2 linked regions of the Lepisosteus oculatus genome follow. The protein of the gene in region 1 purifies or fractionates together with the protein of each later gene. This does not show direct contact. Links are inferred from orthologs where the notes say so. Each region holds a gene or a part of one and is shown in the gene's direction. Other genes may lie near its edges.

Evidence for each region.
Region 2: the proteins of card11 (region 1) and malt1 purify together in Homo sapiens (affinity purification with western blotting; 6 studies listed by BioGRID and IntAct, with this or other methods). This does not show direct contact. The link is inferred for Lepisosteus oculatus from reciprocal best matches to the Homo sapiens genes CARD11 and MALT1.

What each region holds. Positions count from the first base shown.
Region 1 is NC_090714.1:9,322,209-9,330,302, reverse strand, and holds the start of card11 (caspase recruitment domain-containing protein 11), read left to right. Parts: upstream 1-5,037; 5' UTR 5,038-5,207; intron 5,208-8,094. UniProt on the Homo sapiens protein: Adapter protein that plays a key role in adaptive immune response by transducing the activation of NF-kappa-B downstream of T-cell receptor (TCR) and B-cell receptor (BCR) engagement.
Region 2 is NC_090698.1:20,401,437-20,408,805, reverse strand, and holds the start of malt1 (mucosa-associated lymphoid tissue lymphoma translocation protein 1), read left to right. Parts: upstream 1-4,321; 5' UTR 4,322-4,457; intron 4,458-4,473; exon of another isoform or gene 4,474-4,594; intron 4,595-6,323; 5' UTR 6,324-6,418; coding exon 6,419-6,570; intron 6,571-7,369. Other genes in the region: alpk2 (alpha-protein kinase 2), read right to left, coding at 750-760. UniProt on the Homo sapiens protein: Protease that enhances BCL10-induced activation: acts via formation of CBM complexes that channel adaptive and innate immune signaling downstream of CARD domain-containing proteins (CARD9, CARD11 and CARD14) to activate NF-kappa-B and MAP kinase p38 pathways which stimulate expression of genes encoding pro-inflammatory cytokines and chemokines.

The sequences.
Region 1 (8,094 bases):
CCTGCTCAAGAAAGCTACACAGCTGCTAACATTTCCTATTTTGCTACTGTTAATATTAATTAGAACATTTATATGAACCAGAAAAATGTTTCCTAGGTTGTCTCCATAAAGGTGAGCATTAAGGTCTATTAGCTTTGGAATTCTTGTCTTGTAAGACAATTTCTTCAAATATTTTTTACTTGAAATCAGGCTCACCATCCAAAAGATGGCAAGGTTGTTTTGTAAATATTAGCATTACAAATGTAATACAGTCAGTCTCCTGTTGTTCTAGTCAATTGAGGGTTACCTATGAGCCACAAGAAGCACTTTCTGACACAAATGATAAAAATGTAAAATGTAGTAGATCTTTATTTCATTGATGTTGTCCTACATTGCATCTGACATCACATTTACTTCAAAATGTTTTTTAAGTATTTTTAATTTCCTTAAACAATTGTTTGGGGTGTTTCTTTGTCACTAAGCCTGGCTCAAAGCCTTCCACCTTGTCTTAACTTATGCTAAGGCAAACAGAATTTGAATATTGCAATATCAAATGATTAAATATTGAATTACTATTATAAATAATTTAATAATTGAATATTGTATGTAACTAATAATTGATTATTGGAATATTGGACTGCTTGCTGGCAATACTGTTATTCACCGTTTGACCTTGTTTATCAAACTATACTATACTAATCTATACTAGATTGAAAAAGATAGCTAAAAATACAATTTTATGTTAATAAAAATGTCACTTATAAAAACAGCAAAAGGTTAACACAATACAGTACTTCCTGATCACTAATGACTCAGGCAAGGCAGGTAAAATGTTCCCTGACAGAGAGAGGGCAATAACATAGAATCACTTTCTTGAATATAATTTGTCATGGGCAATATGTTTTAAAATAAGGAACAAGTAATAGGTTTATTCCATGCTGAAAAAACAGAAAAAAGAGACAAATTTCTCTTTCTGTGTTCTCTTTCTTCTTCTTCTCTTCTTCTCTTTTTCTTTTTTCAGCATAGAATAAACCTATTACTTGTTCCTTTGCAGCCTACACACGCTGATGCAGCTACCCACCTGAACTATGCTTTAAAATAAAATATTTAACACATAAGGCACATCCATTTTCCTGAAACCACCAGTATTCCTGACATTTCTCTTAAAGTGTATTTGTATGCACATAGAGAAATAGATGTAGGAGGGTCATTAACACTGAGAGACAAAAGGCAAAAGTGGATGTTTGGCACCAGATGTACTGTAGCATTGATGTACATAAAGATTTGTTATTGTGTTTATTGCTGTGAAAGGAAGAGTGATGGGCGCGCAGTGGTTAGCATTGCTGCCTTGCAGTTCCGGGACCTGGGGTTTCATTCTGCAACTGGGGTGCTGTCTGCATGGAGTTTATATGTTCTCCCCATGTTGGCATGGGTTTCCTCTGATTGCCCTGGTTACCTCCCACATTCCAAAAACATACTGGAGAGTTAATTGGCTTCTGGGAAAAATGTCCCTGGTGTGAGTGTGAGAGTCTGTCTATGTGTGCCGTTTTATGGACTGACGTCACATCCAGGATATATCCAGCCTTGCTCCTGTTGTTTGTCTGGATAGGCTCCAGCTCCCCTTGGCTCTGTACTGGATAAAGTGGTTAGAAAATGGATGGATGGATGGAAGAGTGACTTCATGCCTTCTAGCATGACGCATCCTACCAATTACCAGAAGTAAAAATTAGGAATAATAAATCCTATATTTACACGAGTGAACAGAAACCCTAAAAATAAAACAGTGCTTAAACTGTTTAAGTGTCAAGAAATTTCAAATTGCGAGTAAACAAAATCTTTGGAATCAAAACAAGTCATCGGAGACCCCGTGACTGCATGAAAAAAACACAAATGTGGATGAAAACTCAGATTTGCATAGCTCTTCCATCTGGCAGTGACAACGGGTCCTATAATAATGTTTTTGTTCGCTGCCATCTTTAGCAGGCAAACAATGCAAATATCATGCACAATTTTCATTTTATGAAAAAACGTATACCACTAGATTCAGCAGATGACAGAAATATGGTAATGCGTAATGGTCATGCCCATCAATTTGTGTGGCATTATTGCTAGCTGAAAATAAGCCTATGGACTTTCCTTGGATAATGTGTAATTTTTCATTATTTCACATGCTTCATTATTATGGCTTTTTAGAATAAAAGATCAATCTATTCAAGAACATTCATTTCTCCAGAACGAAAGACTTACATTTTTCATTTACAAAAGTATTCACCCCCCACCCCCAAGTCAATACTTTCTACATAGTCCTTTAGCTGCAATTACAGTCATGAGTCTTCTTGGGTATGTCTGTATGAGCTTTGCACATTGTAGAATTTTTGCCCATTCTTCAATGCAAATTTGCTCCAACTCTTAGATGGAGAGCATTAGTGGACAGCAATTTTCAGGTCATACCACAGATTTTCAATTGGATTCAAGTGTGGGCTCTGGCTGGGCCATTTCAGAATACTTACCTTATTTTTTTCCCCAAGCCATTCCTTGATAGTCTTTGCCATGTGCTTTGGGTCATTGTCCTGCTGGAAAGTGAATCTTCACCCTAAACGCAGATCTCTTGCTGACTGAAAAATGTCTCCTCAAGGATTTTCCTGTATTAAGCTTCATCCTTGTTGCCCTTGATGGCAAAAGCTTTCCAGTTGCTCCTGCTTAAAAGCAACCCCAGAGCATGATGCTGCCACCACCATGCTTGACGGTAGTGATGGCGTTACCTGGGTATTGGGCTGTACTTGGTTTGCACCAAAAACAGTGCTTTGCTTTCAGGCCAAAGAGCTCAACTTTAGTCTCATCAGACCACAGTTTTCTTACAAAAGGTTTCAGGTTTTGTCACATGGCTTTTAGCAAACTCCAGGCATGACTTAATGTTGTCCTTTCTCAGAAGTGGCTTCCTTCATGCCACTCTCCCAAAGAGGCTGAATCTGTAAAGTGCTGAAGAGATTGTTGATGTCTGGACAGTTTCTCCCATTTCAGCCAAAGAGCTCTGCAGCTCTGTCAGTGTTGTAGCTGGTCTCTTGGTCACTTCTCTGACAATTACCCTTCTTGTAGTGTCTGGGTTGTCCCATGGTCTGCCATTTTGCTACAATGGACTTTATGGTGCTCCTAGGAAGGTTCAAAACTTTGCCAATCTTTTTATAACCTTCTCCAGCTTTTTTTCCTCTTAACAACCTCATCTTGAAGCAGCTTCTTGGTCTACATGATAGGAGGATTGATCTGTTCTGCTATTTCAGTTGTGAAACCTCACAGTCAGTGATATTTATTGTGCACTCCAGTAATTGAACACAAGTGGAGTCAAAATGAACACCGGTGTACTTTGTTAACGTATTTAGTGTGATCTCTCAAGATAATTTAATACCTCACCCAATTTACGTTGTTAAAACAAAAGGGGTGAATACTTATGACCAGGAGTCATATCACCCTGCAACTCACAATTGGCAACCCATTGAAGCTAAGCAAGTGTGAGCTAGATCAGTACCTGGATAGGAGACCTCCTGGGAAAAACTAAGGTTGCTGCTGGAAGAGGTGTTAGTGGGACCAGCAGGGGGCACTCACCCTGTGGCTCATGTGGGTCCTAATGCCCCAGTGTAGTGACGGGGACACTATACTGTAAACAGGCGCAGTCCTTCAGATGAGATGTAAAACTGAGGTCCTGACTCTCTGTGGTCATTAAAAATCCCAGGGTGTTTCTCGAAAAGAGTAGGGGTGTAACCCTGGCGTCCTGGCCTAATTTCCCATTGGCCCTTATCAATCATGGCCTCCTAACAATCTCCCTCTATGAATTGGCTTCATTACTCTGCTCTCCTCCCCACTGAGAGCTGGTGTGTGGTGAGCGTTCTGGCGCACTATGGCTGCTGTTGCATCATCCAGGTGGGGCTGCACACTGGTGGTGGTGGAGGGGAGTCCCCATTACCTGTAAAGCGCTTTGAGTGGAGTGTCCAGAAAAGCGCTATATAAGTATAAGCTATTCTTCTTCTTTTTCTTCTTATCAATTAAGTAATTTTCAGATTTTTATTTTTTTATATATAAATTTTATTTTTATTTTTTTAAATACTTTATTTCATTTTAACATTAGAGAGAATTACTTCTACAGGAGTAGAAAAAATATAATGCTTTAATTTGACTTTGCAACAGAGCAGAAGAAGAAATAATCAATGAGGGGTGAATATTTTCCAAAGGCACTGTGCTAGATTAGATCATATCAACCTTGAACTGATAACAGTTTCATCCAAATAAGGTTCTCAATAATTTTACTCAACGTTTATTCTTACATAGTTACATGTTATTTAATATAAGTTAATGTGGACTATAATCGAATAGTCATTTTTGTTTGTGTGTGTGTGGGGGGGTGCTTTGCATGTAAACGTCTAAATGATTAAGTCAGTGATTATACATTATGCAGGCTTCAGTGCTGATCCACTGTTAAATGAGGTACATCACATACTGTGAATGCTGCCTTTAAAATGAGAACGCACCAACAAGGCAGTTGAATTAGACGATACCTTCTACAATAACCCCACTTCCTCAATATATTTTTTGATATATGCTTGATAACTACATACACTTATCATCAGATACAAAAGCAGTTAACTTATTCTCCACGAACTCTTATCGAGGACATCATATACTTTCCGATCCCAGACATTTCCTAAAGGTCATAAGGAATATGTGGAGTATGGACACATCATGTCATGGCTCCGTGTTTTTTTTTTTCAAATATCACGTTTTGCAAACCGGCGTACGTATTGTTAAAGGATTGAATGTAGCGTACTTTCCCCCCTATTTGTATCGACCATCGCTCAACTAAATTATTTTTAAAAACCATTCCCGGTTTAATTTCTTGTAAAGGTTATACGATATAAAAATTGGTATCTTCTCGTTCGTAACTTTTATGTTTATTTCTTAGAATGGAAATAGTGCCCTTCTATACAGTACGTAGTAAGGCAGTTTTTTTCTGCCCCAATAATATTTCCACGCCCATCACCATCTCTGCGCCAGCAGAGCTTGACAGACTCTGACAGTAGTGCTTCCAAGTATGTAGTTTAATGTTGCGCAGGTGAAATTAGCAGAGACAAGAAGGCAATTTTCTTGTGGAACGCAACGCCCCTTGTTCATGCTTAAAAAATGGACGATTCTTGTCACTGATCGTGACAGCTAACTGAAGAGAAGTATTCTAGCAACAGGTAAGAATACCTTTTTTTTCCCATACTGGTAAAGACTTTACTCACTTTCAGTAAATTTGACTTTTTTTCTAGCTGACCGGTCACAAAAGTATAACTTCCTTGATAAAATTATCAGATAACATTTTTCGCACAAACAGAAAAGTGGAAATAGTGCGTTTCTACAGCAGAAAAGAAACTTATTGCAGGTCCTCATCTCATCTTTTTCTATCAGAATTTTAATATTTTGAATATTTTGAATTCATTATCTGGGAAAGTTTGAAGCATGTACATTCAGACGATTATGCTATATTTCAGTACAGTAGCTAAATTAGCTTTTCTACTTTAACTGCAGTAGTGCAAATCCGCGCGAGAACTGAAGCCAATTTTGAACACTAGTTCAGAGGAAGAGCGGGCGTAGCTAAACTAGTTTGAAACATACAGTAGGCTGACTTTCCTTATTAGCAACATTTAATGTCGAGTATATCTGAAACATACAGAAAAAAATAAAAGTTTACTTTCTATTTAGTTATTTTTTCCATAATAAAAGAGCACATTGAACAGTAATTTATAGGAAGGAACAGGTAATTGAGTCTTAATATTGTAACAAAAATATGTTTTTAAATATCAGTAAAACTTTTAATTATCTAATGATTTTAATAACCATCACCATTTAAAATAATTGATTACCATTTCTGAAAACCCAACTGATTAATCTTAAAATAGGACTTTTTCATTGCCCATAATATTTTTAATTTCATAAACTGCAACATCTCTTACGCTTTAATCTTTAAACTTCAAGCATCAAAATATTTAATCCTGATTCCCTTGAAAGCAGAACAGTTAAAATTCTATGGATTAGTGACTCCCTGTATGTCTTTAACTGTTTTGGTATGTGATTGGTTCCTGCTAATGTATACTGTATTTGCTATTCTGAAATGCGTAAAAAAATTGCATGAAATTACACTGAAAATGTATAATTTGCTTTAATTTGAAGTTGAATTTCTTTCCTTTCCAAAATGCTCACATTCTCCTATTGTAAAATATATGTACATTATATTCTGAAAAGTTTGTTCTTTGTTACCATTCACCAATTCACGTAGTTTCACTTCACTTAAGCTACAGTATAATTTACTGTATGTGGTAGCTATTCAAAACTATGAGCTTAAATTCAAAGTTTAATTGTTCAGTTTCATATATTTATGTCTAAAATGTTAGAATTCACTATAGTCTATTAAACATTTGACAAGTAATGTGAATTAAATTAATACCTTTTTAAGCTTCTGAAGTCCAGTTGAGTTTGCCCGTAGTGTTAAGCACTTTGTCCAAAAATACAAAATGATTCCCTGTAGGAATTATAAGCAACAGCAAGGCTGTAAGTGTACAGTAGCAATATAACACAAACACATCTAGGATGAAAGTAATATCTGAAGCCCAAAAGACTATGGAGGAAAGATTTAATAGGTTACATTCAATAGATAACACAAGAGTGACTTGTACTGAGCAGGTTTGGTGGGAGTGGGCTATAATTGCTTTGATAATACGTATTGCTCCAAGGCCTTAAAGTTTAGCTTCAGTTAAAATTGCAGAAAATTGAAGAATTTTCTCTTTGGCAGTTTGACAGAAGGATCTCTCACCCAGCAGTTTCTTAAGTAGAAGCCAAGACACGGACTTCAATAACAGCTTGTTCCATACTCTCATAATCCTTTTGCATAGAGAAGTGCTGCCTGTTTTGGTTTTAAACTTCCAGACGTCTTCCCCACAACTTCCATTTGTGTTCTCTTGTTCATGTTTCACTCTTGATCCTGAAGAAGCACATTGGGTTGACTTTGTCAATGCCTTTGATAATTTTGAATACTTGTATCAAGGTCCCTTCATAGTGTTCTCTGTTCATGACTTAAAAGATTGAATTCCTTTAGTCTGTCTGTGTAGTACATTCACTTAATCCTGGGAACGTATCTAGTTGCTCTTCTAGGACATATTTTTTGTAACATTGTGTCCAAAATGTTTTATTTCAAACCCATGTGTGCACTTAATGATATAATTTATGGTATTACATATAATTACGCAACATAAACCAAACAGAAGCATGAAGAAGCTAGTTACCACAGTGTTTTGTATTGTTTTGTAAAAATATTTTAGATAGGGCTAAAGCAGTCACTGCAAATGCTGCAAGGTGCAGTATCTGAGCAAAAAGTATGCAGAACAACATGAATTGAGCACGAAAACTGCTCCTGATGTGAAATCCTGTTTTGTGAAGTGGAGAATACCATGCTGGTTACAAAGCACAAGCTGCAATGCAGAGACTTAGAGTACGAGATGCAGTTTTGTGGATTTGCTGGAAGATGGTTAGGAGTGGTGAGGTTCTGTTCACAGAATATGGTGAGAGGGGGTTAGGGGAGGAGAAAGTATTGCAATGTAGGTTTTCTAGATGTAAGTTTCTGTGAGATCAAAGTATAAACTATACATTTGTTAATAACTTTGACATGCTGGAGGAACTAACCATTGATCATTATTAAAATCATTATCAACATTAGCAAGGAGAAAACTCATAAAGACATGCAGTAAGAACATAAGAAAGTTTAAAATTGAAAAGTGGCCATTAGATCCATCTAGCCTGTTTTGTAATTAGTAGTTTATTGATCCAAAGATCTCATCCAGCTGTTCCTTGAAAGGAACTAGGATATCATCTTCTCTCTAATTTACCTACTCTCATAATTATTTGAAAGAACATGCTTACAACTTGGCTTGGTGCAAAATCTTGGCTGGATATGTTGGGCTATATTCCCTCAACCCTTTGGGTAAAGAAGTTCCTGATGCTCTCATCTTAGAATGCACTTTAAAGTAGTTTCCACTTGAGCCTTCTGGTTCGTGTTTCACTGTTCTTTCTAAAGACATCTGCTGGGTTAAT
Region 2 (7,369 bases), on another chromosome or scaffold:
ACCTGGAAAAAAAATCTGATTCTAATCCCCTTGCATGAAGAAAAACTGAAACTTGATTGTAATTTCCCATTCTAAAAATCGGTGTCAGTGAAAATTCAGTACATACTTAATAAAGCTAGCAGATATATACAGTAGCAGATATAACAAAACTCTCCCTGCTCTTAAATTTTGTATTCCTTTTACATCCACCTGAATAACAGAAAAATAATGTTTCTTATAACTAAAATATCTACAATTCTGACAAGAGAACACATTTAGTGTGAATTCAGCAGAGAAGCAGACCCCACATATTTGAAAAGTCTACTAATGGACTGAAATCTAAGAATGTATCATGGTGATATTTTCTTGACTTAAACTGGGAAAAACATTTGTTTACATTTTAATATGTACATGCATATTTTGATGTTTTAATATCCAATTAATACTGTAAGACATCCATCAAACAGTGACAAAATAGACCACATACAGTATATTTTGTCTTACAGTAAATTCAGTTTTAATATACAGTATATTTCATTAAAAGTCTCTGTGTTAAAGAAAGACATTAATTAGAGTTAATTACCGTCCTAAAGGGTTTGTAGTCTTCCTATTACTGATAGATTAGTCAAGGGATGGCTAATGATAATCATTTTGTTTAATATTTTATGAATCAAGTCACATAATTATTTTCAATATCTACATCACCACATTGGTTTTAAAAATAGAAGACTAATTACACTTAAGGACATTAATAGATTATTTTTACATACCTGTTTTTCATCCGATGCACTGATAATGCACTGAGTGATGATATAGAACGTGGAAATATGTCAAAGCAAAACTGTGGGTCTGAATCTATTTTTAACTTTTTCCCCCCCAAGTACAAAGTTGGGTTACCTGATAGCATGAACATGTGCTATTCCTGAACCCTCATCATCACAGATCTATATTTATTCTACCTACATGCCTGCGAACATGCAAAAATTGTATTCCTGTGGTTTTGTCAACAACATCAAATGGAAAAATGTTTTTCCTTATAAGACAAAGATTTATAAATGTACAGTATGTTTATGTCATTGCATATTGTACCTATGGATAAGGAGTAATTTTTTTTATTTTAACATTTAGTTTTGGATCATTTGGTTTAATGTGGTAAATGTGTGAAAGAAAAGCAAAAACAAGGCAACATGTAACAGACATTTACAGTAAGAGAGAGGTCATTAGAGGTAATGTTATAACAGAGCTATGCTTGTATTCTTTTCAAATTGTTGTTTTTGTATATTACTTTAACTATGTTAAAAAATCCCTTTATTGGAACCCAGAATTGTGTCATATTTAAAGCAATAATTACTTCATATTATTTTCTTATTATATTAAACACAGACATCATTCGTCACTGTGGTCGAATCATTGAGTTATCTGGATGCGTCTAATGACATATATCAAATACCTCACCTACTGTATCACTTATAAAACATGTTCTGTTTTGTGTGATTTCAAAACAACATTTAAAAAAACTGTCTCCCTAAAAAGCTATGAATTGGCTTCATCACTTGCAGTGTGTTCTCCCCACAGATACAGTAGCTGATGTGTGGTGAGTGTACTGGCACACTATGGTGGTCAGTGCATCATCCAGGTGGGGCTGCACATTGATGGTGGTGGAGGGGAAGTCCCCATTACCTGTAACGCTCTTTGAGGGGAGTGTCCAGAAAAGCACTATACACAGTACTAAGAGTAAGGAATTATTATTATTAGAAGCTGTAAGTGAGTTTCTAAAAGAGCTACAGTATAATGAACATTTTTCCATTTCCATTTCCATATTGCCAGATTTCCATAAATAACATACTGTATACTAGAACACATTTACTGGAATCAATAAACTGGTTTTGAAAGCATTTGCTTTTGCTGCTGTTAGTATTAGCTATGATCAAATTATGTTGTGGGTTTCTTTACAGCCAGCTGGAAAGTATTTCTGTCTGTTGGATGCAAAAAAAAGATAATTTATGAAATGATTAATACAAGGCTGTGTTCCATTAAGAAAACAAAACATTCATCTCGCTCACCCTGCGGTCCATGTGGGTCCTAATGTCCCAGTATAGTGATGGGGACACTATACTGTAAACAGGCGCCGTCCTTCGGATGAGACGTAAAATCGAGGTCCTGACTCTCTGTGGTCATTAAAAATCCCTTGGCGTTTCTCAAAAGAGTAGGGGTGTAACCCCGGCGTCCTGGCCAAATTTCCCATTGGCCCTTAACAATCATGGCCTTCTAATAATCCCCCTTTATGAATTGGCTTCATTACTCAGCTCTCGTCCCCACTGATAGCTGGTGTGTGGTGAGCGTTCTGGCGCACTATGGCTGCCGTCGCATCATCCAGGCGGATGTTGCACATTGGTGGTGGTGGAGGAGATCCCCATTACCTGTAAAGCACTTTGAGTGAAGTGTCCAGAAAAGCACTATATAAGTCTAAGCAATTATTATTATTTTTATTATTATCTCAAATCATCCTCCACCTTATTGATGAATAGGGTTAGTGTTCTCTGAAAACTGCCAGTATCACATTTTTTTTCTTCCATCTCTGGAACTGACTATAACTGTAGATATCCTGTCTTGTAATTTGTGTATGTGAGTCATTGTCATTTTCATTGAATGTGTAAAATAGTTAAGGTAAAGTTAAAACAATTGGTAAAGATGTGCTCCCTGTGGAAGGAAGTTATTTTGTATGACATGTAAAAATACTGAACTACCATCACAGTAAAGATCTAAGTCACGTTTCATGTAAGATTGTGGAAAAGAAATAAAAAATACGCAATTTCTGTCAGTTTAAAAATAAACTGACATCTGTTTGCTCAAGCCCATTTTTCCCCAACATATTTCAATATTATCCTTTAAAAGCAGTAAAAGGCTAAGTTTGAAATATACTGTATAATTTAAGAACTTCAGATTATTTTTTAAATAAAAAAACAAAAATCCAAACTTTATCTGTTCACTGAAATTTGTTTTCCAATACAGTAATATTAAAGTAATCCATACAGAATGTTAAATAGTAAAACTAAAAGCAATTAACTTGATCACAGGTCACCGATGCAAAAATGTCAAATGTATATTAATAATAATAATGTTTTACTGATTGAGAGGAACAATACGGTTAGATTGTCTGTCTGTAGATGAGGAGATTTAATCTGAGTTGTGTGAAGAAGTACTGTGCAGCATTATTTTATCGAAATTTAATAAGGTTTTGGGGTGAATATAATAATTATACAACTACCAGAGTTTCACTATCATTAAATATGTTCTGTGATAACTCCTTTTTGCGATTTCCAATAACAGATACTCTTGATGCACTAATTCCACAACTCCGTGAGACTTTTTTTTCAGTAAATCCTTCCACCAATCTCTAAATCAAAGTATCTACTTAAATTTATTAGCGAGGCCTGCTGTAAAGGTTCTACAAAGGTCTATAAAAGATGATATATTCCTTTGTGTACAATATACTGTACCTCTCAGATCACCTTCAACCGCTATTTAATTTGTATGTGTAAATGAATGATGTACAGTAATATGTCTATAAACTGTGCTAGTGAACAGTTAACACAGCAGTTGATTTTTCTTACCCTTTCTTGATTTTGTTTTTGTTACTTTTTGATTTATTCTTTCCTCACCTGTTGTATAAACTACTGTACTGTATATACTGTAGGTTATTGTACCTGGGATTTTAATTTGTACAGTATATAATTTGTTACATTATCCGTTTATTTGTTTTGTTTGTTTACAATGTTTTGACTAAAAACGTTCTGCAAACATATCTTATACACTGCAACAGTTTGTAGCTTTTCGTTTGGTGTTTTTAAAAATAGTCAAGAGAAATATACCGTAGACTGTTAAAAACGATGTCTTAGTAACTATCTCCCGAGTCATTTACTGTATTTTAACTGGATAGTTAAAACACGACTCACAGAAAAACATTGGTAAGATGTACTTAATTAGTTGACTCATTTGTTAAAACCACTGAATTAACTTCCTTGTAAATATTTATCTTAAGTTAGTCGTTCCAACCGCCTTACTTTTTCGACGTACAGTAGGTAGCAGTCTGGCAGCTGCTACTATAAAAATAGTACTCGTTTTATTTGTTCAACGTACTGAAGATGTAATTCATTATTATGAACTTTTATTCAAAACAATGTTAATGCCAGATTGATAAGTATTATACAATTTCTGTTTTCGAAAAGACGTATTGTTGCCTAAAGTACAATAAAGCAACATTTTGAGTGAACCAATGGAAAGAGTAAAGTACGCCCCTTATGTTTCAGGAAGTAAGATATTTGTCTTTTATTTTCTTTCCTAGTAGACATCTGGATTTCCCCGTTTTCGTCACTCCTTTAAACGCATGTGGTAACTCCAATCTAGACAGAAAAACGAGAAGCATGATTCTACCACATCAGTCATTTTTTTTCATCGGTCTGTTGCATCGTACATAGGTGAGTGACATTTTACCTCTTTCTGCCTGTTGTCCCCGAAATGAAGTATGCGTTGTGTTACAAATTCTTTCGCTTTTAGCAAAAGCATGCTTCGAAATGACTCGTGTATTATTATGCTTTGCTTGTGAAAACTCACTTTTTGCGTTTTTAGTATTGTAAGATTTGTTTTTTTAAAATAACATTTAGCGCTTTTAATTGTACTGTATATTGAGAGTTTATCTTTGAAATAACGCCACCACTTGTGTAGCGAATGCTGGTACTGTAACTATCATCCTGTGCATATCCATTTAATGTATTCTCTCCCTTTTTACTTTTTAGTGCTATTGTACAGTTCGTTGATGTCAGAGTATTAGTTTTACTCATTAACTGCAAGTTTGCTCAGTTGTGGGTGCAGTAAGGAATGTTATAGTTACGCATTCTCAGTTTGCAAACGGCAAGAGGCCAGATTAGCAGCAGCACGAAGAGGTACAGGACAGGAAGGGCTTTAACCTAAGGGTTAATTGTATTCAAGAAATGCTGTATTTTCCTGGGGTAAAAATAAGTAATTGGTGAGTTAAATCAAACAAGTTGATTAGCGTGATTAGTTAAAGCTGGCAATGAAAGAACCCAAGTAGACTGAAAACAATAAATCCTGGGTATCTGGCACTATGCAGCTCAGTTTTAAGCACAGTTTATATTCGCTTAGCCTGAATACATGGAAGTTTAAGTTTGGAGAAGGGAGGAAGATATTTATTTTCTTCATCCACTTAGCACAGAGTTGCCCAGTCTCTGGATGGCCACCTTATTAGAGAACAGTACTATTAGTTCTATTACTGTGCACATATCATGTATAATACTTATTATTATGTTTTCAGCTAAAAGGACTTCATATTCATATTTACTGTAAGGTTACAGTACATCCCACATTTGGAAGTTTGGTCAGTACCATCAACAAATCTGAGTTTTGAGCACAGCCCCACTGTTGTTCACAATACTTTTGTTATAGCTAGACAACTAGGCGGTTAATTCTATACTAATCATAATAACTTTTATTTATAAAGTGCCTTTCCAAACCCAAGGATGCTATACCTTATACACATTCCACCTGCCACAAGTGCATTCTCTTTGAGAATCAGCATACTGGGTTATTAGAATACTTGGAGCCTTAGTCTGTTAATGTCCACAAACACCTAATAGCTAGCGGATTTTTCTTATTAAGTTTCCTGCATTCACTTTATTTGTTTTTGTTGTATCTAGGTAGATGTATGTTTCTTCATGTAGCACTGAACAGCATCTCATTAAAACTCTGAAGTGTTTAACAGTTTTATGAGCTGCAGTTTTTACTTCTTACCCTTCAAAAACATTTGAAAATGCAGATGTAAAATGGTTGCAGGGACTCTCTCAAAGAAGATACTGTGCATGAAAGATTTGTGTGACAGCTTACATATTTACTGTACTGTGAAAGAAAATAAGCCTGTGTTGAGCAAGTTGATAAAGGTTTTTTTAATGTAAATGTGGCTGCATGATTCATAGATAGAATGCCGAGATAAAGCAGCTACTGTAACAATTATGTCCTTGACTTTCTGGATTTTCTTTGTCTGGTCTTATACAAAGATTCGGGATTACTAGTAAAATAGTACAAGTAACTGCAACATCCAAATTAAGGAAGTTTTTTTTTTTCTGGAAGTAAAGAATCCTCTTAGGAAATGTCATCAAAAGGAGTAGCACCAAAAGAGGAAACTGACCAGAAAGAACCTACAGTATATCTGTAGTTCCATGTTACATCCTTTTGGCACAAGAATGATAAGGCCCATGATGATTGGATTTTGTAATACAAGGTGGTTGACATTTGCCTGGTTAATAATGTTAATAATGTCATGTGTTTAGGGGGGACAGGACTGCACCTGGCCTAAACGGATGTTGCCGTGAATTTCTGAAACTCAGAATTGTGTCTGAGGCTGAGAAAGCTACCAGCTGCAGAGATGTCAGATTCCTCAGATTTCTATTCTTTAAATGTTAACACACTAAAGGAGCCCATTCTGAAGAAGCTGAGTGAAGTGCTTGACAAAACCAACAACAAAGGATGGAGGAAGCTGGGTGAAATTGTTGCCAGTGACAGACGTTTTAAAGTGAGGTGAGTGACTTTTGATGTAGTGACCAGTTCCAAGAAGTGTGTGCTACATTCCTGCATGTACTGAGTAAATATGACACAGGTCTCATTCAGTTATAGCATCCCTTTAGAGTATGAAAGGCTTTTGGGTCTCCAGGTTTGTGTGTTGTGTAGCTTCAGAAATGTGGGAGATGCTTCAGCAGATTTAAATATTGCCTGGGACAAACTGCACTTGGAAGTTCAGTGCTCTTGTTTGAACAGTTGCCCATCCCAGCTCTCTGGTAAAGTTCCATTAAATAATTCCTGAATGAAAATGTAATGACTCTGTGTTGTTGGTAAAGTACTTATGCCATATAGAGCATACAGTAGGTCTTTTTGTTTGTTATTTCACAAAGAGTGTGTTTTCTATGAGTAAAACAATATAAACCTAATCCAAAAGAAGCAGAATAATTTTCAAGTGCTGTGGGTGGGCTCACATATCTTACTGTATTACCTAGAAAAAATCAGATTACTTACTAAGAGGCTTGACAATGCAACAGGTGAATATCGAGACCAACAATGTTTATTTTACTTTTAACAACTTACACTAAAGAACTGAAATTACAGTGATGACACTTTTTAGAGTGACTTGATATCACTCTAAAGAGGCTTTATTAGTATTGTTCTATACTGATAAAGCCTCTTTAAAGACACCGAGATCATTTTCATGCATTTTGCCAAATTAACTACATTTTATCACGTTTTACCTAATCCTTCTTCAGTGCTTATGCTTCGTCATGTTTTAAGACCAAAAAAGTGATACTTCATTGCTCTGTTGTGAAGC